Linked DNA regions of Danio rerio. The protein of the gene in region 1 binds, or shares a complex with, the protein of each later gene. Links are inferred from orthologs where the notes say so. Each region holds a gene or a part of one and is shown in the gene's direction. Other genes may lie near its edges. The genes, in order: sf3b1, ddx42, sf3b4, sf3a1, dek, rbm17 and sf3b6.

Region 1 (3,893 bases):
GTATTAAACGTGACAAACAACAGTGCCAGTGTTGCAACTTCAAACGAACTTAAGATTTTATTCGAAAGTAGTTTTGAGTTCTTTGTTCTTCAATTTCATTTAAGCAATATCAGGGCCTTAAAGGGATAGTTCACGCCAAAATGAAAACTTTCTTACTATTTACTCACCCTCAAGAGGTTTCAAAGATTTTTTTTCTCTAGAACACACAAGATGATATTTTGAAGAAAGCTGAGAATCTGTAACCATTGACTTCCATAGTTGGAAAAACAAACACTATGTAAGTCAAGGGTTGCAGGTTTCTAATGTTTTTCAAAATAAAGGTTTGAAACAAGTCATTCAAAACATAATTTTTGGGTGAAATATCCCTTTTAAGACTGTCTCAGTAAGGCATAAGTGGATAAATGAAATGTACTGAAAAATATTGATGATGGATTTATATGTGTACTTGTTTAAGTTGGGCAGCAAAGATTTTGGGAGACGGTTGGGTGGTGTCATTGGTCCCATCATGGCATAGGTTGCAGGTAGGTGTGTTGTTCGAAGGGTTAATGTTTTTAATGTGTGAAACAGATGATACAGTAGTCAGGCAACTTAAACACAGACACTGTGTAGTATATGAAAAGTTTCTAATTGCCAGAGACAGCATACTGTCAGATTTATTTTTCCCCCCATACTATTGCCTGCATATTTTTCAATGGTTAGACACCCCTGATGTGTCAATGTCAGTAATGATTCCCAATAAGAGTGGAGCTTTAAAGCCCTGTGAAGCCAAATTTAACTCCATTTATGTTGTCCAGATAATTTAGTATCTTAAAACCGATGGCCTGTGGGTGCTCATACCAGTACAATTTTACAAGAAGTTTAGATCATGTTTAAACAGGCTGCACACTCACAAAACTGACTCACTTGGGACCAAATTATGGGAGGGCAATAATTCTGGATCAGGCAAATCATCTTGCATGTAGTCCCAGACAGAGGAAGCTTTACAAAAACTGTTGTGTAAATATATTTCTATTTTATAATGATAAAATAGAGATATATCTATTGAAGAATCTGTGTACCAAGATTCCACAGGCCCATACTAACTGTCCTTAATTTCTCTCCTACAGCAGTACTGCTATGCCAGTCCTGTCTGCACTCTCTTAAGGGTGCAGCAACTCGTCCTGTGTAGGTTATGGTCAACAAAAAGAAGCGTGTTTATCAGATAAATCAAGACCATAGTTAGTAGTTTTTGCTCTGATGTGAGGCCAGAGAGCCTTTCGGGGGAATGCACCATGATTTCATCAAGCTATTTTATTGATTTAGTTTTACTTTTGTTATGTTTCACATTATTTTTAAAGCCTCATCGGGGACTTTTTTTAAATTCCATATTCACTTTTTTCATTTCAACTTACTTTTAGACAAATTCATCTTAGTTTAAATTTTATTTAATCTAACCAGATGCACACAAGTGTGCTTTAAGTCATTGATTAGTTTCTGATATTTTGTTTCTTTTCTGATTTGATTAGAACTCCCCAATGTGTTCAGTGTCTTTGACTGTAACACCTATAGTTTATTAAATGTATATGATTTTTAAGTCGGTTTTTGAATACTACATGGTTTTCCCCTTTTCTTGTTTGTAAATGAGTGACGAGCAGAATAGGTGGTATGCTATTTTGTGTGTGAGTACAAACCCTTTTCCAAAGTGTTACTAATGGTAAAGAGAAATTTTCTAGGCTTCTTTTCTGCCGGTTGAAGTCTGACTGCAGAGGGACCCTTGGCACTGAAAGTGTACGTATTCTGGAGAGCACAGCCCAGGACCCTGCATCAGTGATGGCTATATCCTCTCCTTATCTCCTCTTAAAAGCAACAGAAACCTCTTTGTACCTGCCTGTTCTTAATGTTTGACTGTAATGAGTGCTTAGCTTTTATTGCATAGGGTTCTTTTGTGTTATGAGAGGACAGTAATTTAAACATTAAAGGCCATCTATTCAGGGACACTTGACTGTAGTGCTTTGTGTGTGAAAATGCTGGTTTTGAGATGCACTTGGCTGACCGTTTCGCATCTTGTTGGTGCTCTTTCGCCTAGGGGGTAAAACACCGGATCCCAAGGTGCAGGTCAGGACGTACATGGATGTTATGAAGGAGCAGCAACTTTCCAAAGAAGAGGTAAGTTCTAGCACTTTGGTGAAATGTCTGTAAGATGCTACTGAAAAAAAAAAGTCACAAGTGTCTTAAACTGTCACTGTTTCTCTTGGTTTACAGAGAGAGATCAGACTACAGATGGTAGAGAAAGCAAAAGCTGGAGAGCTGAAAGCAGTGAATGGCTCCGCTGCATCTCAGGCCGCGGCCAAACGTAAACGTCGCTGGGACCAGACTGCTGATCAAACCCCCAGCAACTCAACACCCAAAAAAGTGTCCAGTTGGGACCAAGCAGACGGAGGTTCTGAAGTGAGTCGATAACAACATTTGGTCTGCAGCAAATGGATATTTTGATTGTTCAGATTTTCATGAAAAATAATTACAAATTCATACAAAGACAGATTTTATGTATCTGATCTGCTTGGAAGACTATGAAAAAGTCAATATTTAAGTAGATGCTGATATACAAAAAAGTAAATGTGTAAATATCCTATAATACAAAAAAAAAACTATTGCTTTTTATTTGTGTAGTATAATTCGAAATTATAGTATAATTCAAAAAGTTGTTTAGGAAAAGTCTTGAGGACCCTACGGGACCCATGTTCTCCAGTGAGGAAAACTATTGTTTAGGGGTGAATTTCTCTAGTAAAGTAATGATCAGGCCCCTTTGGATGTTTGTAGAATCCCCCTAATTTGTCTGTGTCCTCCTGATTAAGAGCCATGGATTAGAAATAAAGCATTACAATGCCACTTAAGAATTTTTATAATGCTGTGAGATTTTTATTTTGTTACTTAGACACCAGGACACACACCAGGGCACACACCCTCCAACAGTCGTTGGGATGAGACCCCTGGCCGTCCCAAAGGTAGTGAAACCCCAGGAGCCACTCCTAGCACTCGTATGTGGGAACCCACACCTAGCCACACCCCAGCAGGAGCTGCCACACCAGGCCGAGACACACCTGGACATGCTACGCCAGGCCATGGAGGGGCCACTTCCAGTGTGCGCAAGAACCGCTGGGATGAGACACCAAAGACAGAGAGAGGTCTTTAATAGTTTTTTTTTGTCTAGTTTGATGTGTAATCTGCAAATAGAGTGGTTTTTAAACCCTTTGTTTTGTCCGTTTCAGAAACACCTGGTCATGGCAGTGGCTGGGCTGAAACCCCACGTACAGACAGAGGAGACGAGTCGGTGGGTGAGACGCCCACTCCAGGTGCAAGCAAGAGGAAGTCAAGATGGGATGAAACACCAGCCAGCCAAATGGGCTCTTCAACTCCCCTGCTCACCCCTGGAAAAACCCCTCTGGGTACACCTGCTATGAATATGGCCACGCCCACTCCAGGTACATGACCAGTGCTGTTGTTTAGCTTAGTTTAGTTTGTAATTTAAATAATTGTTGTTTTGTGGAAGTTGCTTTAAAGGTTTAAATGTTTGCAGGTCACCTGATGAGCATGACTCCAGAACAGCTGCAGGCTTGGCGGTGGGAGCGGGAGATTGATGAAAGGAACCGTCCATTGACTGATGAGGAACTTGATGCAATGTTTCCAGAGGGATACAAAGTATGTGTTATAAAAGTATCATATTATGAAAATCTACAGAGCACATTTGAACTGGATGTACTGAAATTGTGTGTCTGACTGGATTTATTTTGTGTGCTCCGCTAGGTTCTGCCCCCTCCAGCAGGCTATGTGCCCATCCGTACCCCTGCACGTAAATTAGCTGCTACTCCAACCCCTATTGGAGGCATGACTGGCTTCCATATGCAAACAGAAGA
Region 2 (3,893 bases), on another chromosome or scaffold:
CACCCCAGTAAGAATTTGTAATAATTTAATAAACCCCTATTTGTATTCACTTGTGTTTAATTAAGGGGTTTGTTTAAGCAAATGTTTTTAATGTTCACATTTCTCGCATAGGGCCGTCTGATCGATCATGTAAAAAAGAAAGCTACGTCTCTGCAGCGAGTGACCTTTCTAGTATTTGATGAAGCTGATCGCATGTTTGATATGGGCTTTGGTATGTGTGAAATGCAGTATTTGTTTTGTCTCTTTAATATTGTATCAGTCATTTTAGAAGTTAGTTTTGTTATATGATAGGTCACCTAAACCAAAACATTGTCATGTTATGATTTACAGAACACAGTCAGTAATTTGTTATTCAATGTATCAATAGTTTATATACCAGAATTTATTTTCAGGCATATTTAAAATGAGATTTATTTAATGATGTTTTTAGGTTCATATCATATTAAGGTGTTTATTTGAAGGCCCAATCCCATTGTATTTTTTACCCCTTTCCCCTTGGCCCTTGAAACGGAGTGTGAAGGGAAAGGGCTTCAAGTTTTACCCCTATAAAATGGGACAGCACTACAACACCAGCACACGTCATCATATATCATCACGACTGCCGTAGTTATTCCATTTGTGTTATTTTTTGGTATTTATCTTTAGGAAATAACAAAAGACAACGATATCATGTTGTCAAATCAATATAATGTGGAAGACATTATAAGATCGTAACTGTACTGTGTATTCACACCGTAACATATTAATCTATACGAGAAGTACATTAACATCATACCAGACACTGTAAAAAGCTCATTACCAGCCACTTTATATAGATTAAATATTGATATTTTAATCTATTTCTGTTGATATAGATATTTTGCGCTAAAAATATATTTTTAATTGTTTTTCTTATAAAGCATGATGGCAAACCACAACAAACCGTTATGAATTTATTAAAATGTGCTTAATTGTTGTAAAAATTCTTAATACTGACAAAAAATACTAATTTGTGCATCTCGTTTCTTTCATGTGCTGCATTGCTTTTTGTATTCTGGGAAATTTTCATACCCCGTGGTTTTGAGTTCTGAAAAATACAAGTTTCAAGGGCTATCTAGCCTTTCCTTTAGCCCTATGCCTTTACGCTAAAGAGAATTGGGACTTGCTAAAGGGAATTGCTAAGAAGTAGAATTGGCATTGGGCCTAAATATTATACTTTATTAACACTATACTATAAATCTCAAGTTTTGAATAATGTAAAATATAATTACATTAAGTATGAGCATTAATATTTATTTTTTATAAGTATAGGTTTGTATGTATTAAAATAATATTGACCTAGATATTGTTCTTAATGACAAAGTACTAGACAAGTTAGGTGCATCTAAAATACTTACTATGTGTATGTAGTTTTTTGTAAATGCCTTTGCCCTAAGAAATTTATAATTGTATCATTTTATTTGTATTTAACAGAATACCAAGTGAGATCCATTGCCAGCCATGTTCGACCTGATCGACAAAGTAAGTCTTTTTCACATTCGTCATTTTAATGTCTCACTATATGAGTACAAATGGGCCCTCACAAGTATAGCTAAACCTGTATATATACACACACACACACACACACACACACACACACACACACACACACACACACATATATTATAGTGTGTTTTACATCTTTAATGCTCATTTTTGACTTTACCTCGACTTATCTTTTTTGTACTAGCTTTAATGTACACAAAAATCTTTATGACCACTGATCTCCCACAGCTCTGTTATTCAGTGCAACTTTCCGGAAGAAAATCGAAAAACTAGCACGAGATATTTTGGTCGACCCCATTCGTGTGGTGCAGGGAGACATAGGAGAGGTGCACCCCTTATTTCTTGCACAAACATTTGTGTACCGCATATTTGTAGGTGTTCACCTAACCCATATATTTCATCCTCTCAGGCTAATGAAGACATCACTCAGATAGTGGAGGTGCTGCAGTCTGGCCAGGACAAATGGGGTTGGCTGACCCGCAGACTGGTGGAGTTCACATCCGCTGGCTCAGTGCTGGTGTTTGTTACTAAAAAGGCTAACTGTGAGGAGCTGGCAACAAATTTAATTCAGGAAGGATATAGCCTGGGTCTGCTTCATGGAGACATGGATCAGAGTGAGAGGAACAAAGTCATAGCAGACTTTAAAAAGAAGAATCTGCCTGTATTGGTGGCGACCGATGTTGCTGGTTAGTGGAACTTATATTTTGCAATCAATCTTCAACTGTTTCTCGTTGTCACTGCCAAAATAAAGTTGTTGTTTTTTACTTCATAGCTCGTGGGTTGGATATTCCATCTATTCGCACTGTTGTCAACTATGATGTAGCCCGGGACATTGACACACATACACATCGAATTGGTAGAACAGGTCGTGCTGGAGAAAAAGGTGTAGCTTATACATTGCTCACCACTAAAGACACTTCATTTGCCGGTGACCTGGTTCGTAATTTAGAGGGAGCCAATCAGAGTGTTTCAAAAGATCTGTTAGACCTGGCTATGCAGGTAATTCAACACCTTTCACAATGCATGTTTCATTGATTTTGCTTTTAAATAATTGCTGAATGAATACATTTTTAACTTTGCTTTTAATGTTTTTTTTCCTCGTAGAATCCCTGGTTCAGGAAATCTCGCTTTAAGGGAGGAAAAGGGAAGAAGATTAATATTGGAGGTGGAGGCTTGGGCTATAGAGAGAGACCTGGCCTTGGATCGGAATGCTCTGTTAGTTTGAGATTTATTTTGGTTTTATTTGAAAAAATATGAAGAGTTCAGGTGCAAAAGCGGCTAAACGCCAATTCAACCAAAATGAGCTAATGACATTGAGAGAATGCATTAGGCACACTGTACATATTCAACAAGTATTTTAGTTTCAAATCATCTTAATCCCAGCGTCAGCCCATTCAGAAATAACAATTTGTTGGCAAAAGCCTCTAAACACCACTTGCATTTGACAGCAAAAGCAGCTTTGTCCCAAGAACCAATCAGAAGGCGCGAATCGAATTATATGTTTTCAGTGTAACAGCACGCTGATAAGCCGGCTTTTATGACGAGACTGTTTTACTCCGCTTCCGATTTCGATTTTAAAACATGTAGTTTGATGAACTGGATGAGCTTGTCAGTGAATGGCAAATGAAAATATTCCTTTACCTCAAAACTCTGCATTTTATAAAAAAAAAAAGAACACAATACAGTCAAAAGTGTATCATGCATTCATAATGTTTTTTTTTTTTTGTGCAGCGACGCTACTTTGAATGAGTCTGATTTACTATACATTAAATGGAAATTCCGTTATACGAAAGACGAAGTTAAGATGCCGTTCTTTTATCCCGCATGGATGCTATGAGGATAAACAAGAGACGAAAAAGAGATCAAGACCTTGAGTAAAGTGAGAACGAATGAATGAATGACAGCTACTGAAACTGTCTGAGGGACATTCCGTTTTGCCCAGCAGGCCTACCTTGTGTTTTATTTGCTAATGTAAGCTATTTTTTAAAAGATAAATATAATGTACAAAACTATACATTATTCATATTACTCCATATTATATGTCTGATAAGCTTTTTATATGAATGGACAATGCACCAGATATTAATGTTTCACAATATTTTTACACTACATTATCTGAATTTAACAAGCTTAGTTTACAATGTTTGCAATGTTTTCATTACTCACATTTAATCTAAATCACCAATATCAGAAATGCCAACAGATTAAGATTTAATTAATGTCAATTTTAACGTTATTGATTAATGCACTTACTTGACAGATTTCGTTCATTCGTTTTCCTTCTGCTTTGTCCCTGATTAATCAGGTGTTACCACAGCAGAATGAACCGCCACTTATCTGACAGATTTAAGTATTTTTTATTTTAGGTG
Region 3 (4,463 bases), on another chromosome or scaffold:
TCACACACACATTCATACACAGGGCCAATTTAGTTTATTTAATTCACCTATAGCACATGTCTTTGGACTGTGGGAGAAACCGGAGCACCTAGAGGAAACCAACTTGCGGAGAACATGCAAACTCTATGCAACAGCACTAACCACTAAGCCACCATGCCACCTTAAATTAATGTACTTTAGTTTAATTTTTGGGAAACGTTTTTAAATGACAAAAATGTAATTTATATTGAGTGCTTGTGCTTGATTTGAAGAAAACCATTAATTTTATAATGCCTATCATTTTATTTCACTTTGAAAAGTAATTGCTTCACTGTTGTTTTTTCCTCCATCTTACACACAATGGGGTATATGCACACAAACTTTTAATTTCAGTCAGTCAGCCCCATTGCTTCCGGTTAATTGTCATCCCAAACTAAATTGCAGCGTTTAAGATCTGATTTCTTTAAATAACAGCAATCTTCACTGCCTGGCTGAGATGCGATATATAGTGGGTATCAGACCTAGCATAAAAACACTGCATTAATTTATAGACTATTTTTCCACACCATGTCATTAAAATATGGAAATTAATTTTTCCTCAGTATTTTTTTTAAAGTTTTTGCGCTTACTCGCTGCTAATGACGGCGCCTGCATTTAAACGGTTTTTATGCTTTACCAACCAAATATTTAACTGAATGTATTGTAATTATATTACAACATCGATGCTGTAAAAGAAACCTTATGAAATTAAAGCTTTTATAAAGCTTTCGCTAGAAGTTTATCATTGGCTAAAAAAAACTAGCTGTGCATATAGCTTATTGATAAATTTAAAAGTTTGTATGTTAACAGCACACATTTCAGCGTATGTTATTACTTATCTAAAAGAAACTTCTTTCATCATCAAATCTAAAAGTATACTGAGGTAACTTAGCTCACCCAAAATTTATTTTTAATACATTCTTATAAAGTCTATCCACTTGTGTGCCATTTTAAGTCTTATTTGTTTTTAACCATTAATTAAAAACTTTAATTTGTACTTTTTTACCTCACTTTTTTACTTTGTTAGTACACTGTAAAAAATTCCACACAATTTGTTCATTGTCTCAACAAATTTAATTGGTTTAAACATAAAACAATTAAGTTGCCCCCACAAATCACAAGAATTGTGTTGCTTCAGCTTGAACAAGCAGTTTGTGTATTTCTACTTCCACTTAAGTATGGTAGGTCATTTGAGTACTTTATACAGCTCGTGATAATATTAACTTGCATATTTAATTAATTGTTACTTATGTGATAAAAACCATGCGGTAGCCTACTGTTTGTTTCGTCGCCACAGATCTGTCCATTAGACAGTCTGACTGGGTCCTGGCTTAGCACAGCTGTGGCTCCATTTTATGACCTTTAACAACATAAAAGACATATTAAGTAACTTCCGAACAAAAACAGACAAAGGACGTAGTAAATCATAATTTGACATCCACAAAATCGGCAATGTTCATCTTCCTCTCCTGTGGGCGGCAGCACTGCGATGACAAGACGATGTTGAGGTGATTTCAGCAAAAAGAACTGCTTCCGTCTGTACACACGCCGGGGTTCATCATGGCGGCGGGACCGATTTCAGAACGAAATCAAGGTATATTTGATAAATTTAACTTTTTAGTGAAATTGTTATGTAGTGTTCGGGGTAAGTGATGGATTGCAGCATTATTGAACACCTTAAGTTCTTCCTATGTTCTATGATACAGTCAAATCGCTCATTTTCATTCATTCAAACATGTTGGCTTAACAAATAAAAACAAAGAAACGTTTGAGTTTTGGTTTTAATGAAGTGTAACAAAACAATCATGCATATTTCAATATGCTTATTATTATCGGAATTAATAAATTGTATATAAATAATGCATCTAACGTTAAATAAAATACTATGTTTGTGTTCAGTGTTGTCATTTATATTGATCATCTTTTATCTGCAGATGCCACTGTATATGTGGGTGGTCTCGATGAGAAGGTCTCTGAGCCTCTTTTGTGGGAGCTTTTCCTTCAAGCTGGTCCTGTTGTAAACACACACATGCCCAAAGACAGAGTAACAGGACAACACCAGGGTGAGTTACCACGTCTTTAAATCCATTGGGGTAAAGTTGCTTTTATACTCCCTCATTCGGTCTTTCCTCTTAATATAATTTAGCAAAAGTATTCTTTGCAAATTATAAGAAGGAAAATGACATTAGCAGTCAAAGACTATCAAAGTTCAATATTGTTCACAGACAATGAAATAGTTGCATTATATTTTAGACCATATATTCAAAGTAGCGTGGTAAACAATACAGGAACTGTGTTCCTAACAAGTTTGCATAATACCAGCCAGTGGCTGCTAAATATCTAGTTTTGCTCAATCTTACGTTTGTTTGTGTTGTTGACATTGTTGAACAAAACCCCAGTTATAAGTACTGATTTTGTTTTTATTTGTACTTTTTATTATTTATTGTATAATTTTTTTTTACCCAAATCTTGTGTTTGTTTGTTACAACTGCAATTCTGCACACTTACTTTTGCATTCATAGGCTGCAGACTTGGAAGTCCACAAAAACTGATTGAGGTATAATTGGTTTTATATTTGCACATTCTGACTTTCTCCTTAACTATATAATTTCAGAAAAATATTATATTTAAATTCTAAACAGTGAAACCATATTAGCAGCCGATGACTACAACACTGTTCACAGACAATTAAATAGTGTAATGTTGTTTGTAGTGTAATACTTGCATGCAAATTTAGACTGAATATTGAAAGTAGTGTGGTAAACTATATAGTAACCGTTAAAATGAATAAATTTGCGAATGTAAAACCTTCTTTACCTCAATCAAAAACTGCCTGTGTGTTATCAAATCTATCCTACAGAGAATTGATATTGATTTTTATCTTATTATATTTCACAACAAGGGACGGTGTACATTAAATTTAACTTATTTTTTGTTTTTAAGACTGTAAAGCACTTTGAGCAGCCTTCTGATTGTAAAAATGTGCTATATAAATAATTTGATTGATTGATTGATAAATCAACATTGCCTAATATTGTAAATGTAGTCAAATTAGTACTCAATACTCAAATCATATTTGAGTAATTCTTATGTATTGTATTAAGAAATTAAAGTGTATTTTAACATTGAATGCATGTCAGGGTTCAACGGCAAGGATTTTGTCTACTGGGCCGATCGGGCCAGTGGTTGAGATTTTCACTGCCCCCACCAAAAACAACAAAAAGTTAATAGTTATGTCTTAGCCACATATTTTAAATAATAATAGAATTTAAACATTTCAAAAATGGTAATAAATGTATAATGAGCAAAATTCAAGATTTTATGCCAACGAAAGAGCAGTATGGAAAAAAAAGCTGGTATTTTATTGCAACTCTAAATTATTTTTATAAAAATGGCTTGCCAAACTGACAACCTTTTTTTTTTCTCTCTCCAGTTTCTTAATTTTGTACACATGTATTGTCTGCTTCCAATACTTTAGAAACAGACATTTTCTTTTAGCCTCATCGTTTGATGTTGCTGCCATTTTGCCATGTTTTCGATGTACTTGTTGTGACCAGGTTACGAAAAAAATAACGTGCGATAGGGGCCAGTAACAATCCTGTCTACTGTCCCGAGCGCCTTTCAAGCTGGCCCCGGGCCACCGGGCAGTCCTTATTGTTGAGCCCTGCATGTAAAACAAAATTAGGAACTTTTAACAACCTAATAGGATCACTTCAAAAACTGGTATCGCTCTCTCTTCTTCAGGTTATGGCTTTGTGGAGTTTCTCAGCGAAGAAGATGCGGACTACGCCATAAAAATAATGAATATGATCAAACTTTACGGCAAGCCCATACGAGTCAACAAAGCTTCAGCGCACAACAAGAACCTCGACGTTGGTGCCAACATCTTCATTGGCAACTTGGACCCTGAGATCGACGAGAAATTACTTTATGACACATTCAGCGCTTTCGGTGTGATCCTTCAGACCCCCAAGATCATGCGAGACCCCGATACGGGCAACTCGAAGGGTTACGCCTTCATCAACTTTGCCAGTTTTGATGCGTCAGATGCGGCTATCGAGGCTATGAATGGCCAGTATCTGTGTAATCGGCCCATCACTGTTTCATACGCGTTTAAGAAAGACTCAAAGGGTGAAAGACATGGGTCAGCAGCCGAGCGTCTCCTTGCCGCACAGAATCCACTGTCCCAGGCCGATCGCCCACATCAGCTTTTCGCAGATGCTCCACCTCCTCCAAGCATGCCCACGCCTGTCATGACTGCCCTCGGAGCAGCCATGCCTATTCCAGGTTAGAGATGAGAAACATCTTAATGACATGTTGCAAATGTTTTTCACATTTCCAGGTTCAAAGTCGTCAGAGTTGGATAAATTTAGAGTGAAGTGAATGGGAGAGTACAACAAATATTTTTTATTCACAATCCTGTTTGCTGAAATAGTAAAAGAAAA
Region 4 (4,393 bases), on another chromosome or scaffold:
GAGAGGCACCCAGTAAAAACAGTACTAAAGGAATGTTGGGAATATGGACATAAAAAGATAGATAGTTTTGGTTGGACAGTAAAAGACGAGGCTCAAAATATGGGCATAAGAGACATCAATTTAGCCCCTGCTGTGCCAACCTCTGCGATTCCGCCTTGGCTTTTCCATAAACCAGTAGTCGATTTATTACTACATGAGGAAAAACACAAAAATAATATGTTAAATGAAAAAGAAATACAACAATACATAAATCAGTCATATTTCAATTATTTACAGATATATACAGATGGGTCAAAAGATCCTAAAGATGAAAAAACGGCAGTAGTAGTTTACATCCCAAAATTCAATATTAAAATATCAAAAAGAATAACGGACCGACTTTCTGTGTACACTACAGAAATTGTAGCTATACTTCTTGCTCTTCAGTGGATAGAAGACGTGAAACCATTAAGATCAGTAATATGCTCCGATTCTCTGTCAGTACTAAACAACTTAATTACTGGAACATCTAAGGCAAGACAGGACATAATGAATGAGATAATGCAAAATTTATTCAGAATCAGACAGGGTGGACTTTTTGTAAGCTTCTTGTGGATTCCTGGTCATATGGGAGTAGTAGGTAATGAAGAGGCAGACCAACTTGCAAAGGAAGCATTACAACATACTCAGATAGAAATAAAAATAAAAATAAGTAAGTCAGAGGTAAAAAACATAATTGCAAAAGAAACAGGTAGAATGTGGCAAAGGGAGTGGGATAATGGAGAAAAAGGCAGACATATGCATAATATTCAAGGATGTGTGGGTGGTACTAGAAATAAGTTTAGTAATAGAAGGAATGATGTGGTAATAACTAGGTTGCGTGCTGGTCATTGTTTGCTAAACCAGTATAAGTTCAGAATAGGGAAGCACGAGACAGGATGTTGTGATAAATGCGGGAAAATAGAAACATTAGAACATGTAATTACAGAATGTGTGGCATATGACAATCAGAGATATCAGTTAGTTCAAGGATTAAGTATTTATGGGATTAAAAATTTGTCATTTCAGACCCTATTAGGAAACAGTTCAAATCAAGTTGAAATAATAATGCAATTAATTAATTACTTAAAGGAAACAAAATTGATTAATAGAATTTAAGAATAGCTTAGCAAAATAAGGAAATAAAATTTACTATGATTTTTAACTAGTATTTTTTTTCTTTCTTTCTCTCCTCTCCTCCTACTGTTATTACTGTTCTCTCTTCCCTATGGTAATCTCATCCCTCCATTCGTATCATATATCTTTAGTACTCATGCTTTTTCCAACATTATGCGCTCCACACTCCTATCCAGTAGGTGGCGGAAATGCACCATTTAAGTTGGTCTGCCAACCGCCATTAACCCCATAAGAAGAAGAAGAATTTCATTGGTTGTCCGTTTTGTGTTGTGTGTGTGGCTGCTGGCTAACGAGAGGTAAGTGAGTTATGTAAAACTGCCTTCATAATTTGTATAACTTTAGCCATTCTTGCGACTTTCAGTGTTCATTATTTTATAACGGTTGAGTCTTTAGCTTCAAATAATCTTTCATTTTACACAGTAACGTTTGAATCGGTCCGAGAAGAGCCAGTAGTGTCGCAGTCATGCCGCCTGGGCCTGTGCAGATCATGCAGCCGGAGCTGAATAACAAGGTATGAAGCTTTCAGAATTTATTACTTTCATAGACACGATGGGTAGGTTTATCCGATTTATATTCATCTGCTTACATTTTTCGTCTTTCATAAGTATAATACTGGGCATTATTGCAATTTTATAATTTATTGTTTTGAGTAGAAGCATTACTTGTTTAAAGTTAAACTTTAATGTATATGTTATCTGTTTTGTTATCTTTTGTAGCAGTCATTGTTGTATATATTCCCAGCATAATGTTGTTTTATTATTAGTATAAATATAATATAATATAAAAATATATATTATGTAAATGTACTGTTTTATTTCCCAAAATCGATGTGGTCAAAGACAACCATTTTAAAAGATAACGTAGTAGTGTCTACTTTATTGTTTAGAAAAAAAGGTTAATAAAAATTAAGATCTAAAAATATATATACTTTTGTAAAAAATGACAACAACAACAAAAGTAAACTTACATGTACTTATTAAAATAAGTAAATGATCCTTCTGCATTTTATTGTTTTTTCTTTAAGTAAAAATTTGGATAATAGATAGTTAAATTTGAAATATTTCATTTGCTTATTTTGGGGGCTGCAATGTGATCTTTAAATGTTTTTCTAATGTCATCAAAATATTCTTCAGATGTTAATTGAATAATTATTCTTATTTTTCTTTATAATGAAAAAAATATAAATACACAAATTACTTGTTAGTTTATAAATATACATATATTGTTTTGATTCTTAAATTAAAAATGAATATGCAAATTCTATATACAAATAATATTTAAAAATTAGGGGTGTTTGAATTGAATGTAAATTTATTGATATTTATTGTAAAAACTAATTAGTTTGTAATATAAATTTCAGTTTATTATCAGATTCTGTTTTATTGATGTTGTGAAATGAGAAAGGACAGTTGTGCAATTATAATAAAAAGTAATAATTTTAAGGACCATTTACAGTGAGAAGTGTATTCTGTTGTACAATAGAAACACTTTTGGCTGCAGTAAATCCAATTCGCTTGATTTTTTTCTGTTTATCTGATATGGTATTCTCACATAACATGGTAAAGTTTCTGAGATTGACACCACAAGCATCACCCATGCTTCAATATTTGTGTAGTAAATGAAACTGTGGCATTCATTCAGAAACACGCCTCATAAATATAGACTTTGTATTTAACTTATATTTTAGTGGTCTTAAAATTCTCACACAATAGTACACATCACAACTTCATTTTAAGGACATGATTAGTTTTAATGTATTAATTCAAAGCTTGTAACATTTAATGACATTGTATAATTAATTCCATATTTATGACTGTATTCTGTGATTTTTGTTTGTGTTTTCTGTATTATTTTGCTCATATTAAATAAGCTATGAGATGTTTTAATCAACAGCCCGAAGAACCGAAAGAAGAAACTCCAGCCACAAAGCCCATAGTGGGAATCATCTACCCTCCTCCTGAAGTGCGAAACATCGTTGACAAGACTGCCAGCTTCGTAGCCAGGTTTGACATCCTACCACATATATCATGTAGTGCAGTATTTCATTTGTGTACTTTTATTAAATCAATAATTAATTCCATTTATTTTGTCAAAGGAATGGACCCGAGTTTGAGGCCAGAATTCGACAGAATGAGATCAACAACCCAAAGTTCAACTTCCTCAACCCGAGCGACCCATACCATGCCTACTACCGACACAAGGTCAATGAGTTCAAGGAGGGCAAAGCTCAGGAACCATCCGCAGCCGTTCCTAAAGTCATGCAGCATCCTCAGCAGCTTCCTCAGAAGGTCAGCAACTTCTCTGTGGCTTTATATAAATATTATCAATATTATAGATGTAGACAGATAGTTTTATAATAGTTAAAATCAAGCCATAATCCAGCAGACAGATATAAAAAATTTTAATAGCTTTCTATGTTATAAAGAGCTTATGTTTTGTGATTATTTAGGTCCAAGCACAGGTGATCCATGAGACGGTGGTGCCAAAAGAGCCTCCACCTGAGTTTGAGTTCATTGCTGACCCTCCCTCCATCTCAGCCTTTGACCTGGATGTGGTGAAACTGACCGCACAGTTTGTTGCCCGTAATGGCCGTCAGTTTCTCACACAGCTGATGCAGAAGGAACAGAGGAACTACCAGTTTGACTTTCTCCGGCCACAGCACAGTCTGTTCAACTACTTCACAAAACTAGTGGAGCAGTATACAAAGGTAAATTATACTTTTTAGAAATGCTGAGGGCTTATTGGTTTGCAAAGAGATTAGAGATGTTCAGTATTTTTTCCTCTAATAATATTTTTGATTAATGTTTAAAAAAATGCAAGCTCAATAAATTAGCAAAAAAATTATTAAAACAATTATTCCATTTGTGAAAGCATTTAGAAGATACATTAGGGCTGGGGAAAAAATTGGTGATTTCCATGCACATTTTGTCAATAAAGCAATAAAAGTAAAGTAAGCTACATTCAGCTGGAGCAGCATTTGCCACACATAATTCACTATAAAGCTACACAAAACTTGCAACACTTGATGAATCTGTAGTTGTGTCTTTATTAATTAGTCTGAATTAGCGAAAGCAGTTAAAGTTTCCTTTTTAACACAATACTCTTTGGATTTCTTTTAGTTTCTGTAAGAGCAGCCTCTGGCATTTAGAGGAGATTTATTGCTGATCATGCTGTGCTTTTCTGACAATATGTGCATGACAAATGTAGCTTTGCTAAATGATGTTTGGGATTTACTTTA
Region 5 (3,363 bases), on another chromosome or scaffold:
AAAACTATTACATTTATGGCACTGTAAGAAACGAGTACAACTTTATAACTGCAGCCACAGATCCGACAATACAAAAATCCTTTCAGCAGAAATTGCATTTAAACTAACAATTTTCATCTCAATATTCCTAGACAAAAAAGAAGCCTGCAGCAAAGAGAAAAGCTCCAGCAAAGCCTGTCCCGAAAACTAAGAAAGCAGACAGCAGCAGCAACCGAAAGAAAAAGACTGCAAGCAAGAGAAAAGGTATTAATGCGGTCATATTATAAATGTTTAATAGAAATGGTAAATATTGTGTTTTGCAGTGTGTAGAGATTAATATGCTGTAGTTCTGCTTCTAGATGAAAGCGAAAGCTCTGATGACGATCAACCTTTGATCAAAATGATCAAAAAACCACCAACAGATGAGCAGTTGAAGGAGAACGTAAAAGACCTCCTGAAAGACGCAAACCTGGAGGAGGTTACAATGAAGCAGATAACCCGACAAGTATGTTATTTCACCTTTATTGGGACAGAAGCTTACTTTAAAGGGTTATGATCTGTATTGCAGTTTAACTAACTAGACCAGGGGTTCCCAAACTTTTCAGCCCACGACCCCTAAAATAACAATTCCAGTGGCTTGCAACCCCCAGTATTCTCTGAGGTGGTTTTACATATATAAAACCAGCACACAATGGTGCACACAACCAATATGCCCAAGTCTATTCGTCGTTTAATTTTGGAGAGCGCCACCCCAAGACCATCCTCCATGTTAAGTTGTGTCATTTATTTATTTTTATAATGTACGTGATTGCACGTGAAATCAATGTGTTGCATCTGACGCTATTCCTATGTCTATAATATAACAATAATCACCACAAGGATTACAAAAAATATTGAAAGGCTTATGGCTTTTTATTTTCATGTTGTTTTTAATGGTTATTATTACCATGCTAACAATGGTACTATAAACTACTATTTTGTTCTTCAGCTAGTTATGGATAAAATATAGTAGTTCTAATAGTTTAATAAAATGAATTCGATTTTTGTGAATTTCCAAGCGACCCCACCTATATTGTCCCGCGTCTGACCCCAGGTTGTCCCGACCTCCACTTTTGGAACCACTGAATTAGAGGACTAATTTATTGCATGCATTTAGTCTGTTTATCACTGTCATCTATAGTCATCACAGGATATAGATGATATTTCGTTAAAGTTTGACAAGTTGAAGTCTTTTCAAATGCTGTTATGATTTATAAACTTTCTCTTTGTTGTAGGTTTATGACAAGTATCCTGACTTCGATCTGAGCAGCAGAAAGGAATTTATTCGTGAGACTGTTAAAAATGTAAGTGCATTCAAAATGCTCATTTATTTTAATATTCATTTGTATAATAGTCAGTTTTAACATGGCTAATGTTCTTGCTTTTCAGATGATATCCTGAAGTGATGAGAAGAAAATGCCTTATTTAAAAAAGTCGACTAGAGTGAAGTTGGTGGATGAATATTCATTGCACTGTTCACTGTTCTGTAGTTTTATGTTTATTTTATACAAGTTCAGCTTTTTTGTATTTTAAAGAGTCTTTTAAAGTTAGAGTTTTGACAATTGACAGCAAATGATGTGGATTTTGGTTGTTGAAATATGCCACATTTTTAAAGTAATTTTAGTTTCATAATTTATATGGCACGTGGCCATACAAACTTAACCATATTTTATTTTGACCAGAAATTCACAGTTTGTTTGTGCTAGAAAAGCCTGCAGTATGATTAGCATGAATTTGTTGATGCTAAGATACTGCAGGCATGTTTTAGAAAGTGTTCATTTTATGGATTGATTTTATCCATTATTAACGCTGGTTTCAGTTTTGAAGGTTTGAATGTCGATTGCAAAAACAAGGTAATTTAGATTAAATCTGTCTGGTTTTTGGTTTCAACATCTTATGTTGTGCAGTGTTGGTTTACATCTCAGTGCTTTGCATAATAGTAGTGTCCAAACTCATTCCTGAAGGGTCGATGTCCTGCAGATTTTAGCTCCAACATGCTTCAACACATCTGACAGGAAGTTTTTAGCATATCCAGTAAGAGCTTGATTATCTGCTTCAGGTGTGTTTGATTAGGGTTGGCGCTAAACTCTGCAGGACACCGGATCTCCAGGACTGAGTTTGGACACTCGTGGCATAATAGAAGAATTTGGTATTTTAATGCTAATGTGTTAAAAGCAAAAAGCTTTAAGTTTTTTTTTTCTTTGTAAATATGCTCTTTAAGTGTATTTTACTTGCTTGTGTCTTAAATCAAGTCATACGAAGCAAACAAATCATAATTCTGTGATGTTACACATTCATATCAGCAGGTCAGAAATGTAGTTTAGGTCCCATAGTAAGACCAGATTTGATCTGTTGTAAACACTGACCTCAGTAACCAGTTATCAATTATTATCAGTCATAATACTCAATGATAGTCTGTCACAAAAACATCAAAACAGAAATGAAAACGTGTTTATTTTGTAATAAATAGATTTTTCATAATATATAAGCTGTCTGTATTTTTGTTCTTGATGTTGTTTTACCTGGATGGCTGTGTTTGTTTTTGCCACTTAAGGTGTATTTGTGATATTTTTACTACAGGTTTTTAGCTATAATTTTGACATAATGACTTTTAAAAACAAGTACCATATAAACAACACTCATTGTGGGAAGACAAACACATCTTGATTTTACTTAGAAAAGCATTTTATAACGATAGCTTATATTTAAAAGATTTTTAAACTAATTAAGTCACGCTTCCACAATTTAGTCTTAATTTTATGATGCAGAACAAAAATTCTACATTCTTTAAGTGTTTAGCGTTAGATTTTACCTGCACCTTTAATGTCCAGCTGTCTTAGTATAATTTTTTTTCCAATAAGTACATTTTGTACAGGTTTTTTGAGGGGTGTGGTGCATTTATTAGAATCAATTGGTACATCAGCTCTTAGTACTTATTTCATCAAAAGTGCACTTTTTCAAACATTTCAGCATATTTTCATTTGTGTACAATAAACAATCACAAAATATCCTTTTCACTACACAAAATACATGTTCTATCTAAACGTTTAATTTACATTAACTGCCTTTTATAATGCTATCACTATCAAACTTATGACTTGCATCTCTTATTCCATTTAATACATTTGTGTCATTTAATTTAATTGATCTTAAAATTTGAATAAATTATATCCATAGATTTTCAACTTGTCTAATTGTTGTTTGATCATTTGTAAGTTACAAATTGCTTGAGGAACTTTTAAAAATGCTAATTACTAATTATTTTCACCCAATAATCACAATTAGATATGTATAAGTTACTTGCGAATTAAAATTATATAACAGAACAATATTTTTCCTTGCATA
Region 6 (4,506 bases), on another chromosome or scaffold:
AAATCCTCCCTTTGAGAGATATGTGAAAATTTTGTTTATTTACTTAATTTGGGAATAGTTTTAGACTATCTGCAAATCTATTCTTCATATCAAATTATTGACTTTCTTGGATACCGTCTATACATTTTATTTTATTCTATTTGTAATTGGAAATACAAAATATAAATACAACAAAATTACATTAAACCCTACAAATTATGTATCAGATGCGGAAGGCTTAACACCAGAACGCCATATTAGGTCCAGAAAAAAGAATATACCAAAAAAAAAAAATAAAATACAAAGAGTGTAAACTTACAAAAATCATCCTAACTAAAAATGAACAAATGAACGAACAAAACAACAATATAGTACAGATATCATCTATACCAAGTTAAATAATATAAATAATTAAAAACATTTAAGGCGGTTTTTGTTTTCATTTTAGCCAGGACATCCAAAAATTGTTTAGTTCTTCTAAAAAACCAAAAGTAGTGGAGGGGTTTTGAAATATTTGCATTTATGAATATAATAGTTTTCTAATATAATAACAATATTTATCAATGATAATATAGTATTTGTGTAAAAAAGAACCATCTTTCATAATTTCACATCTCACATCAGTACATCTTGTAATGTGGTAGTCAAACCTTCAGCATCCACATTCTTGCATTTAATTATCTTTTTTATTGAACATTCAACAAGAATACAAAAATATACAGAAAAGGTATCAATTCTTTAACAACAAAAATAGACAACAGAACAAAACAAAAAGAGAAACAAAAGATTCTGCCAGGGGTAATATAAACAACAAAAATCTATCTTAAAGCAAGGTCACAGTGATGTATAAAAGGTCACATACAATACAGTCTGCTGGGTATTATAGAAAAGAGACAATACTGTAAGATTCACATAGTGTTATTAATTTTAAAGCTTTAACATTGCTGGAAGTAGAGATTGTATTCAAATAATACTTCAAATCTTTACAAAAAATAAGAAAAAACATTTGCACTTGTGTATGAAAAGATTTGCTAGTGAAAGAAATAGATTTATTAGAAAATCTTTATTTTTATTTATTTATTTTTTATTGAATACAAGAATAATAACATTGAAGAAAAAAATACAATAGCAAAAAAAGAAATGAGAAATAAGAAAAAAAAAACTTTACAAAGCCTCGATCATTAAGAAAAAATATAAACTTTAAGAATTTTTCAAGTAATAACCATGCTCTCTTCCATTGAATGCAGTCAGAAAAATTGATTTAGAAAACTGTACATCTTGGGGAGGTATATAGCCTACAGAGTTATGTAACAATCGTCTGACATGTCTGTTGGCACAATTTTTTTTTTTTTTTTTTTTTTGATAAAAAAAAGACACTCCGTCCAAAAAATGTTTAGGCATAATTGTTTTCCTCTCATTAAAGTAAAGAAACATTATTAGAAAATCTTAAATACTTTGATATCGCTGCCATTCTGACGTGAATACCTTTGGCTATGCGTAGTGTGACGTCATATGTTCGCGACGTCTCCATTGTAGCATGTTACGCTAACCAAGAGTGCATAACTTGTAGAGGATTTATTTTCGTGAAAGGTGTGTATCTTATGTCAAATATTCAACTATTAAAGTGTATGCGCTGTTACAAGATGAGGCAGCAACCATTTGTTTATTAAAAGCAGTAAATATTGCTAGCGGTCTACGTTATATGTGAATGCTAAACGTAGCTCATACATATTACTTATTATAAGGACCATTATTAATCCTATATAGCTTATTTAAAGTTAAATGTTTGTTTTCTGTTTTTTATGTCTAATCTATAGTTTATGTGATAATCTAGCATTTTCTGTTCTAGCTTTTATAACATGGTTGGCTGATTACTGTTTGGATTACGTTTATGATGCATGTATTATTATGATTTTCAGTGTTTTTAGTGGAAAGGAGGAGAAATGTCTTTATATGATGATTTGGGGGTCGCAACGAGCGACGCAAAAACAGAAGGATGGTCTAAAAACTTCAAACTGCTTCAGTCTCAACTGAAAGTGAAGAAAGCTGCACTGACACAAGCAAAGGTTGGTCAATGTTTAATTCTTGATAAAACTGTTTTATTAGTAAATATTTTTATTAATAAATGAAAAATGTATGTATTAATTGCAACTACATTAAATCTGAATATATCAGGGAATTTGAAATTAGTTAGTTATTTAGGTATTTTAGTCTGTGTCAATGATTTTGTTTACAGTTGTGAATTGAGAGAAAGTTGGTTTTATATTCACACATTCAGACTTTCTTAATAATATAATTTCAGAAAAGCATTCTTTGCTAATTCTAAATGGTGAAATCATATTAGCAGCCAGTGACTATCAAAGTACAACATCGTTCAGAGTCAAATAAGCGGTGCTAATGTTATTTTTGAATCATACTTACATGTGATTCCAGACCAAATATTTAAAGTGCCATGGTAAACTAAATAAGGAGCATTCTCATAAGTAGTTAATGGATCATAAATCTTATGGTACGGATCAAACTAAACTTAGAACCTGTAATTGCAATAAAAATACAATTCAAGAAAGAAATATCTGAAAAAAAGGAAAATATTTAATAAAATGATCTGATAATGCTAAATATAGAAATCAACATCTTGTACAACATATCGCATTTACAACGTATGGTAATTAATGATTCAACAATTCACATGTAAAACTTCATGTTTGGTTATAAGTGCATCATTTTTGAAACCCTATATTCAGTGACATAATTTTGATGGTTGTTTGTCGTTACACAATGTAATTGCTACAACATTCACCAGTGCCAAGTTCCATTGAATGGTGATTTAAATCTTTACCAGAAACATCGGTGTTTATGTCTGTACTAGAAACTGTTCTCCCAGCACTTCTGTGTTATTAAATTGTTTGTAACTAGTTGAAAAAGTGTAAAAACTGATTCTCTCTGATCTGATCAAACACAGATTTTAATGCAACGCTTCGAAGGATTAATGAACATATGCAGATCATTATCATTTAATATTCATGTTGCGCGGGTTTGAATTGAGGTCACGATCTTTTAATGTTGAATTGTGCAGCTTTACACTGAATGCTTTAATGCAGGCTAAACAAATAGTGACAGAAAACACTTCTTAAGAAACTAACACTAACCTAAGAAAACATTTAGTCCCACCACTTGTTCCGTCATCACTATATTTTACAGGGAACCCAAAATGCTTTCATACACGTGATTTGAATGTTACGGGAGGCAATCTCTCTGCAATTGTTATAAATATTGGATTAACCTACAAGTTTAAAAAAGTTATTAATCTGTGGGTCATGTGCATACCGTACTGTGGGTTGTGATCCGTAAGGATCCGTTACACCCCTTGTCACAAGTCATCACTGAACGAGTGAGTATGAAACCAACTTTACCTCTATACAGTTGTGTATGTAATTGTAAATCCTTGTTTCTTAATGATCTTTTTTGTCTGTTTATTTTACTGTTATCATTTTCTCATTTCCAAATCAAACTGCACCAAATTGGGTAAAATGTGTCATTTAAAATTTTAAAGTTCAAAATTCCACTCACATTTCTCTTTATAAATTTGTTTTAAACTAGGTGAAATAAAACAGGACAAAATAAATCACAAAAATGTTCCCATTGAAACTCATTTAAACTTTACAATTATATCCCTTTGACATTTAAGCAAAATGTCATACATTCTTTGTTTCATATTTTGACTTCAAAATTCTAAACATTTATTTAAATATATTTAAAAATATATTTTGCTATTTAATTAAATAATTTTAAAAAATTAAGATGTATAGTATTTTGCACATATTTTGGCATATTTTTCAGCTTTGAAGCTTTCTTACTTTCTTTCTTTCTTTTTTTCCTTATTTGTTTCTTTCTCTTTCAGCTTTGTTGAGTAAACGAAATTACAATTATGTGATTATATTCGTGTGGATATGTTTGTATTGTGTTTTTTTTTTACCTTATAATGTTACAAATATATTTTAAAAGGAATCATGAAATTGATTTATGATTTATGAAATGTTTGAACAGTTAGCATTTTATTTGACTGATAGTTTTGTCATCTAATGACATGTTTACTTTTTGTTTTAATTTCTGCACAAGGATTAATTAAGACAAGTGAAACCAATAGGTGTTATAACCGAAAAGTTTTATTGACAAATGACTTGTTTTGCAGACCCAGAGGACGAGACAGTCCAATGTTCTTGCTCCAGTTATTGATCTGAAGAGGGGAAGTGGAGGGGATGACAGACAGATCTCTGATACTCCTCCGCACATTGCTGCAGGGATGAAGGTAAACCGTGTCTAGATCCTATTTAGGAAAAATAGAGTATATAAAAATAAGTATAAGTAGTAGTAAGATTGCTACTAATTAAAATTATTTAAAAAATCTAATATTACTATGGGAAAGCATTTAAGCAGAATTTAATAATGACGACAGTAATCAATGCATTACATGAAATAAATTAAATCACACTGGTTTTAATTTGGTAATTAATTTTTACATCAAGA
Region 7 (4,336 bases), on another chromosome or scaffold:
GTTAATTTTATCATTATTATTATTTTGCAACTGAAATCTGTAAAACTGTAAAAATCGTGATCTCTGTAATCTACTAAAATCTCCAGTTTTCGTCATTCTCATAAATCATGTTGTTTTTGCTGCCATAAATCCTGAGTTGTAAGTTTTTGACCAGTCTGTAGACTGGAGTATTGTTAAATATTTTGTCTCATACTGGATAACTATGCTCCTGAATCTACCTCTGCTGTTTAACTGTAATTTTCTTTATATGTGTTGAATATTTCTATCCATACTCCAAGCATTAATCAACTTTTTAATTAATCAACACTTCAAGCATTTAATCAACTTTTTAATTAATATTTATCAATTTTCTAGTCTAGCCCTAGAAAATAACTGGCAAAAAACGCCAATGAACTGCACAACTGGAATGCCCTATATCATTCATAACAAAAGTCTTCAGTTAGATGGCAGCAGAGAGCTGAACTCGTAAAGTTTTAATGTCCAATCATTGATCGCCACCTGGTGGCTCACTTCAGTATATGTCAAAAACCCACCCTCTAAATGTGACAAAGATAAATTATTAAATAATAAAAACAAACAAACACACAAATTACAGTTCAACTAAATATTTCCCAAAAATGGTTCCTATAATGTAACGTAGTTCTTATTACACCAAAGTGTTTAATGGATTTTTTTCCTGATAAGTTTTTTTACTTATTGTAAGGTAAACAAGGTAAGCATTGGTAAGTATAATATAAAAGTATAATAATTAAAGTATTATTAAGTATAATAATTAAAACATATATTAACCTTCATTACAGGTTTTAATGAATTTTTGCTGTACGTTGAATATGAATATATGGAATTTAAAAACTAAACTGTTAATAATTGAATTTATAGGGTTTAATGTGAAATTTGGCCAAAGAATAATTAGAAATCGTTACATAAATCATGAAAATCATTTAATAAATGGCCAATCATGGGAACAAATCCACCATCATAAATGATTTTTAAATCATTAATGGTTTTTATTTCTTATTTATTTTTTTTTTCATATGAACAATCCATATAATTACAAGAAGAGAATAGATAAATAAAGAACAGCCAGTAGAATACAATTCAATCAAAATTAAGGCAAAAAACATCAAGATGGTACAGTTTACTTGTCAATTTTGAATTTTATTAAGCATAGAATAAAAAAATATGAGCTTGACGTCATCTCAAAGGAACATGGCCATTGGATTTCCCGGAAAGACGTCATCACACTGCGCCGTCAAACGATCCAAAGTGCGTAGATTTTGAGCTTGTGCTAGCTTGCTTTTTATTTCCACAGTAAGAGAGTTTTTCTCGAAAAGTTTCCTTTAAATAAATCCAGCCATGGCGATGCAAGCGGCTAAACGAGCGAATGTAAGTTCAATTTTGTTTTAATCGTTCAAATGTTCGTATTGTTGACAGTGTTAAGTTAGCCCTTCGACGGCTAATCCCGACATACAAGATCGCTGTTTGTTGTTTTTCTATTATAAATGTGAATAGCTAAGATAAGTTGTTAATGTAATATTAAATGTTAATGTTATAATATATGGTAAAATGTATTCCCCGATATGTAATATATCGTGTAATACGTTCGCTGGGTGTACAAACGTGATCAAAACGTACCCAATTGTGTACATATATTCATTCACGAAATCTCTTTCATTCTTAAATGTTTTTTTAAAGCCACGAGGGTGTTCAAAATCTTAAATCTTTGTGAATTAACAATAAGAAAACGTGTATTTACGTTTGTCTGCAGGGTATCCGCAGGGTCTTTAAATGTCGTAAATTTCAAAAGTAAAAATTTTACGTTTTGCGTTAAAAAGTCATAAATTCACTGAAATATTTTGTTGTAGGTCTTAAATAATAAAAAGATCTACCCAATTAATTCAACACCAAATTACCATGTCAACTTTTGGTTTTATATTTTTATTTTTTTATTATTTTTTTACTGCAAAGAGGTGCAATTCACAACAGCAGACATTTTACAGCAAATTCTCTAAATTAAATTCCCTAATCTGGGAAAGAGAACTGAAGCAAAACATTCTTTTACATGATCTTTAATTATTAACAGATAAACTATTTACAGAAGTATCTGGGTCATTAGAAAATAATTCTTAGTGTTTAACCCTGTAAAAGTAAAAAAAAATCAATCTTAAAGGTCTTAAAGTTTTAAATTACACTTGAAGAAACCTACAGAAATCCTGGTCTGTCTCAACACTGTTCTTTGTTGGCATCTTTTCAGATTCGTTTACCTCCTGAGGTGAACCGGATATTATATATCCGTAACCTTCCTTACAAGATCACTGCAGAGGAGATGTATGACATTTTTGGAAAGTATGGGCCTATTCGTCAAATCAGAGTGTGAGTATCAGTCTGTTTCTTGCATTAACATACTTTCACACAAAGGGTTTATGCCATGGTTTCCGCTACATTCATTCTTCCATGGCGGGGCGTCATGCCAAAATTCATCCTGCCAAGGCTACATTACCGCTTCTCATTCAAAACATTTTATTTTTTTAATAGCGGGTGATAATCACACCAAAACTTATTAAAGGGTAAGTTAATTATAACAGCGTGAACATTTCTGTAACCGTAGTAGTGATGTGCGTCATTTGTTTAACCCTTCAAGGTTACAGGCTGACTGACTGACAGGTGCGTGAGGCCAGCAAACACGACGTATAGCTGTTTCACTTTACTTCAGGACGCATTAATACGGCTCTGTAGGTCTATTGGACACATTCATAAATATTCCTAGCAAGTCTAATAAATGCTGGAGATATACTCGTTACATAAACTCAATAAATCGCTCTTCAGCAGCATTTATTTGAAAGTGCACAAGAAGATCTGCAAGCTCTTGATGCGGCTTATATTTGAAGGGCGTTTAAGAAGTTTTGTGCACGAGCAGAGGAAATCAGTGCACAAGCAATGAGATTCGTATGCTGTAGGCTATCACATAAATGCAATCTCGACTTCTAATACTGCACTCACGACGTTTGTCATTGAAATAATGCCACAGGTTATCTGTGTAAAAAAAAGGCATGCTGCCACAGGTGGAAAAAACCTAGAGGAAACACTGTATACGTTTTATCATTGTGGTAAAGTTTTATATTTGCACTTTCTGACTTTCTCCTCTTTCTGAATATAAGTACAGAAAACTACTCTGCAAATTGTTAATAGGGAAATCAATTGAAGTGAATTAGATTTTGATTAGGGCACAATATATCGTTTCAGCATCTATATCGCAATGTGTGTGTCCACAATCACATCACAGGGATCTGCAATGTAGTCGAGATTATAGTTGACAAGACATTACAGTTAACAACATAGTGGAGTCTAGGTATGGGCCAGTATAAGATTCTGATGGTATGATAACCTTGAATAAAAATATCACTGTATCATGATATTGTGATTACTGCTCTAAAATATTCTTTTTAAATGTCTGGGTAAAAAAACAAAAACTTTTTTCCCCTTTGAACACAATAGATTTTATTTTGAGAGATTTAAATTCTTTTGGAAAAGTAAACATCAGGCTAAATAATTCAAATGAATCATTGACTTCTACTGTTTTCAAAACAAAAAAAAAAAAAAAAATGGTATTACAGAAAAATTTGGCGGTTTTAAAACCTTGACTTTTCCAAACTGCGGTATAACTTGAAAATAGTTGTCATCCGAAGCCTAGTGGATTCATTATTATTTGCCAGTGATTTTAAGACCTAACTGTAATAATTTCAAACAAACCTAAACATTTGGGCACAATAAATTAAACGTTTGTAGCTTAAAGGTTAATTATTCATTTGTATGCAATTAAATGACACAATGCTATTATTATTATGATCATTATTATTATTATGATTATTATAGATTGATTACTGAATACTGTTTGACTGCCCATAAAATTATAAATCTTTGTTTATTTGCATCTTTTGTCCATTGTATTTAACTATGCTAGTCATTTTAATATAATACTTTATACAGATACACTCCCCTGCAGAATCATCCTAATCTTTACAAGCTAGTCGTCTGCTGAAATTGTATATATATATATATAGCAGTGAATAAAAATATTGCAATGTCAGTTTTTTTTTTCCAAATATCGCGCAGCTCTAGTTTTGATATTCACGCGATCATTCAGTGAAAACTTGTGATATGGTCTCTATATTTTTTACCACTCTACTTTGAATATTTGGGCAGAAATAGCATGCAAGTATGACTTCAAAACAACGTCAGCACTATTTGATTGACTGTGAACCATGTTGTCTTTTGTTAGTCTTTGGCCGCTAAAATGACTTCCCTATTCAGAATTGGCAAAGAATACTTTTTGAAA

The links.
Region 2: the proteins of sf3b1 (region 1) and ddx42 are in contact, whole or in part, in a cryo-EM structure (PDB 7EVN), measured with the Homo sapiens proteins. The link is inferred for Danio rerio from reciprocal best matches to the Homo sapiens genes SF3B1 and DDX42. Residues at the interface, in NP_036565.2 of Homo sapiens: Pro509, Pro510, Lys513, Arg517, Thr520, Asp557, Arg558, Tyr561, Lys562, Asp565, Leu566, Arg568, Pro569, Ile583, Ala607, Ile610, Ser611, Arg614, Glu622, Arg625, Asn626, Arg630, Pro646, Phe647, Ala650, Val651, Lys653, Ser654, Lys655, Lys656; in NP_031398.2 of Homo sapiens: Asn68, Glu71, Glu72, Tyr75, Phe76, Glu77, Asp78, Glu79, Glu80, Glu81, Asp114, Pro115, Leu116, Glu117, Phe119, Met120, Val123, Ala127, Asp130, Met131, Arg133, Leu134, Gly146, Ile147, Arg148, Ile151, Glu152, Glu153, Glu154, Asp155.
Region 3: sf3b1 (region 1) and sf3b4 share a complex: the UniProt entries of both Homo sapiens proteins name them as parts of the SF3B subcomplex of the 17S U2 SnRNP complex. The link is inferred for Danio rerio from reciprocal best matches to the Homo sapiens genes SF3B1 and SF3B4.
Region 4: sf3b1 (region 1) and sf3a1 share a complex: the UniProt entries of both Homo sapiens proteins name them as parts of the 17S U2 SnRNP complex. The link is inferred for Danio rerio from reciprocal best matches to the Homo sapiens genes SF3B1 and SF3A1.
Region 5: sf3b1 (region 1) and dek share a complex: the UniProt entries of both Homo sapiens proteins name them as parts of the B-WICH complex. The link is inferred for Danio rerio from reciprocal best matches to the Homo sapiens genes SF3B1 and DEK.
Region 6: the proteins of sf3b1 (region 1) and rbm17 are in contact, whole or in part, in a crystal structure (PDB 2PEH), measured with the Homo sapiens proteins. The link is inferred for Danio rerio from reciprocal best matches to the Homo sapiens genes SF3B1 and RBM17. Residues at the interface, in NP_036565.2 of Homo sapiens: Arg334, Ser336, Arg337, Trp338, Asp339, Glu340, Thr341, Pro342; in NP_001139019.1 of Homo sapiens: Leu309, Met312, Val313, Asp319, Asp321, Leu322, Glu325, Thr326, Glu329, Leu372, Arg375, Tyr376, Phe377, Gly378, Gly379, Val382.
Region 7: the proteins of sf3b1 (region 1) and sf3b6 are in contact, whole or in part, in a crystal structure (PDB 2F9J), measured with the Homo sapiens proteins. The link is inferred for Danio rerio from reciprocal best matches to the Homo sapiens genes SF3B1 and SF3B6. Residues at the interface, in NP_036565.2 of Homo sapiens: Trp388, Ile392, Arg395, Asn396, Arg397, Pro398, Leu399, Ser400, Asp401, Glu402, Glu403, Leu404, Asp405, Ala406, Met407, Phe408, Pro409, Glu410, Gly411, Tyr412, Lys413, Val414, Leu415; in NP_057131.1 of Homo sapiens: Arg12, Leu13, Pro14, Pro15, Glu16, Val17, Arg19, Ile20, Ala32, Met35, Tyr36, Arg46, Gln47, Ile48, Arg49, Val50, Gly51, Asn52, Thr53, Thr56, Thr59, Ala60, Tyr61, Val63, Glu65, Asp66, Ile67, Phe68, Tyr92, Ala97.

The regions. Positions count from the first base shown.
Region 1 is NC_133184.1:33,850,376-33,854,268, reverse strand, and holds part of sf3b1 (splicing factor 3B subunit 1), read left to right. Parts: intron 1-1,106; exon of another isoform or gene 1,107-1,164; intron 1,165-1,712; exon of another isoform or gene 1,713-1,767; intron 1,768-2,065; coding exon 2,066-2,145; intron 2,146-2,241; coding exon 2,242-2,427; intron 2,428-2,914; coding exon 2,915-3,164; intron 3,165-3,248; coding exon 3,249-3,461; intron 3,462-3,556; coding exon 3,557-3,678; intron 3,679-3,783; coding exon 3,784-3,893. UniProt on the Homo sapiens protein: Component of the 17S U2 SnRNP complex of the spliceosome, a large ribonucleoprotein complex that removes introns from transcribed pre-mRNAs.
Region 2 is NC_133178.1:30,673,461-30,677,353, reverse strand, and holds part of ddx42 (ATP-dependent RNA helicase DDX42), read left to right. Parts: coding exon 1-7; intron 8-111; coding exon 112-211; intron 212-1,452; coding exon 1,453-1,500; intron 1,501-1,752; coding exon 1,753-1,850; intron 1,851-1,933; coding exon 1,934-2,210; intron 2,211-2,296; coding exon 2,297-2,523; intron 2,524-2,628; coding exon 2,629-2,739; intron 2,740-3,893. UniProt on the Homo sapiens protein: ATP-dependent RNA helicase that binds to partially double-stranded RNAs (dsRNAs) in order to unwind RNA secondary structures. Unwinding is promoted in the presence of single-strand binding proteins.
Region 3 is NC_133194.1:8,478,630-8,483,092, forward strand, and holds the start of sf3b4 (splicing factor 3B subunit 4), read left to right. Parts: upstream 1-1,550; 5' UTR 1,551-1,578; coding exon 1,579-1,612; intron 1,613-1,952; coding exon 1,953-2,081; intron 2,082-3,762; coding exon 3,763-4,305; intron 4,306-4,463. UniProt on the Homo sapiens protein: Component of the 17S U2 SnRNP complex of the spliceosome, a large ribonucleoprotein complex that removes introns from transcribed pre-mRNAs.
Region 4 is NC_133183.1:43,422,411-43,426,803, forward strand, and holds the start of sf3a1 (splicing factor 3A subunit 1), read left to right. Parts: upstream 1-1,433; 5' UTR 1,434-1,451; exon of another isoform or gene 1,452-1,455; intron 1,456-1,575; 5' UTR 1,576-1,618; coding exon 1,619-1,666; intron 1,667-3,048; coding exon 3,049-3,158; intron 3,159-3,250; coding exon 3,251-3,443; intron 3,444-3,604; coding exon 3,605-3,862; intron 3,863-4,393. UniProt on the Homo sapiens protein: Component of the 17S U2 SnRNP complex of the spliceosome, a large ribonucleoprotein complex that removes introns from transcribed pre-mRNAs.
Region 5 is NC_133191.1:45,446,618-45,449,980, forward strand, and holds the end of dek (protein DEK), read left to right. Parts: intron 1-131; coding exon 132-243; intron 244-326; coding exon of another isoform or gene 327-338; coding exon 339-484; intron 485-1,253; coding exon 1,254-1,322; intron 1,323-1,407; coding exon 1,408-1,419; 3' UTR 1,420-2,498; downstream 2,499-3,363. UniProt on the Homo sapiens protein: Involved in chromatin organization.
Region 6 is NC_133179.1:26,166,254-26,170,759, reverse strand, and holds the start of rbm17 (splicing factor 45), read left to right. Parts: upstream 1-1,485; 5' UTR 1,486-1,569; intron 1,570-1,898; 5' UTR 1,899-1,922; coding exon 1,923-2,045; intron 2,046-4,171; coding exon 4,172-4,288; intron 4,289-4,506. UniProt on the Homo sapiens protein: Splice factor that binds to the single-stranded 3'AG at the exon/intron border and promotes its utilization in the second catalytic step. Involved in the regulation of alternative splicing and the utilization of cryptic splice sites.
Region 7 is NC_133195.1:38,722,090-38,726,425, forward strand, and holds the start of sf3b6 (splicing factor 3B subunit 6), read left to right. Parts: upstream 1-1,209; 5' UTR 1,210-1,356; coding exon 1,357-1,386; intron 1,387-2,254; coding exon 2,255-2,373; intron 2,374-4,336.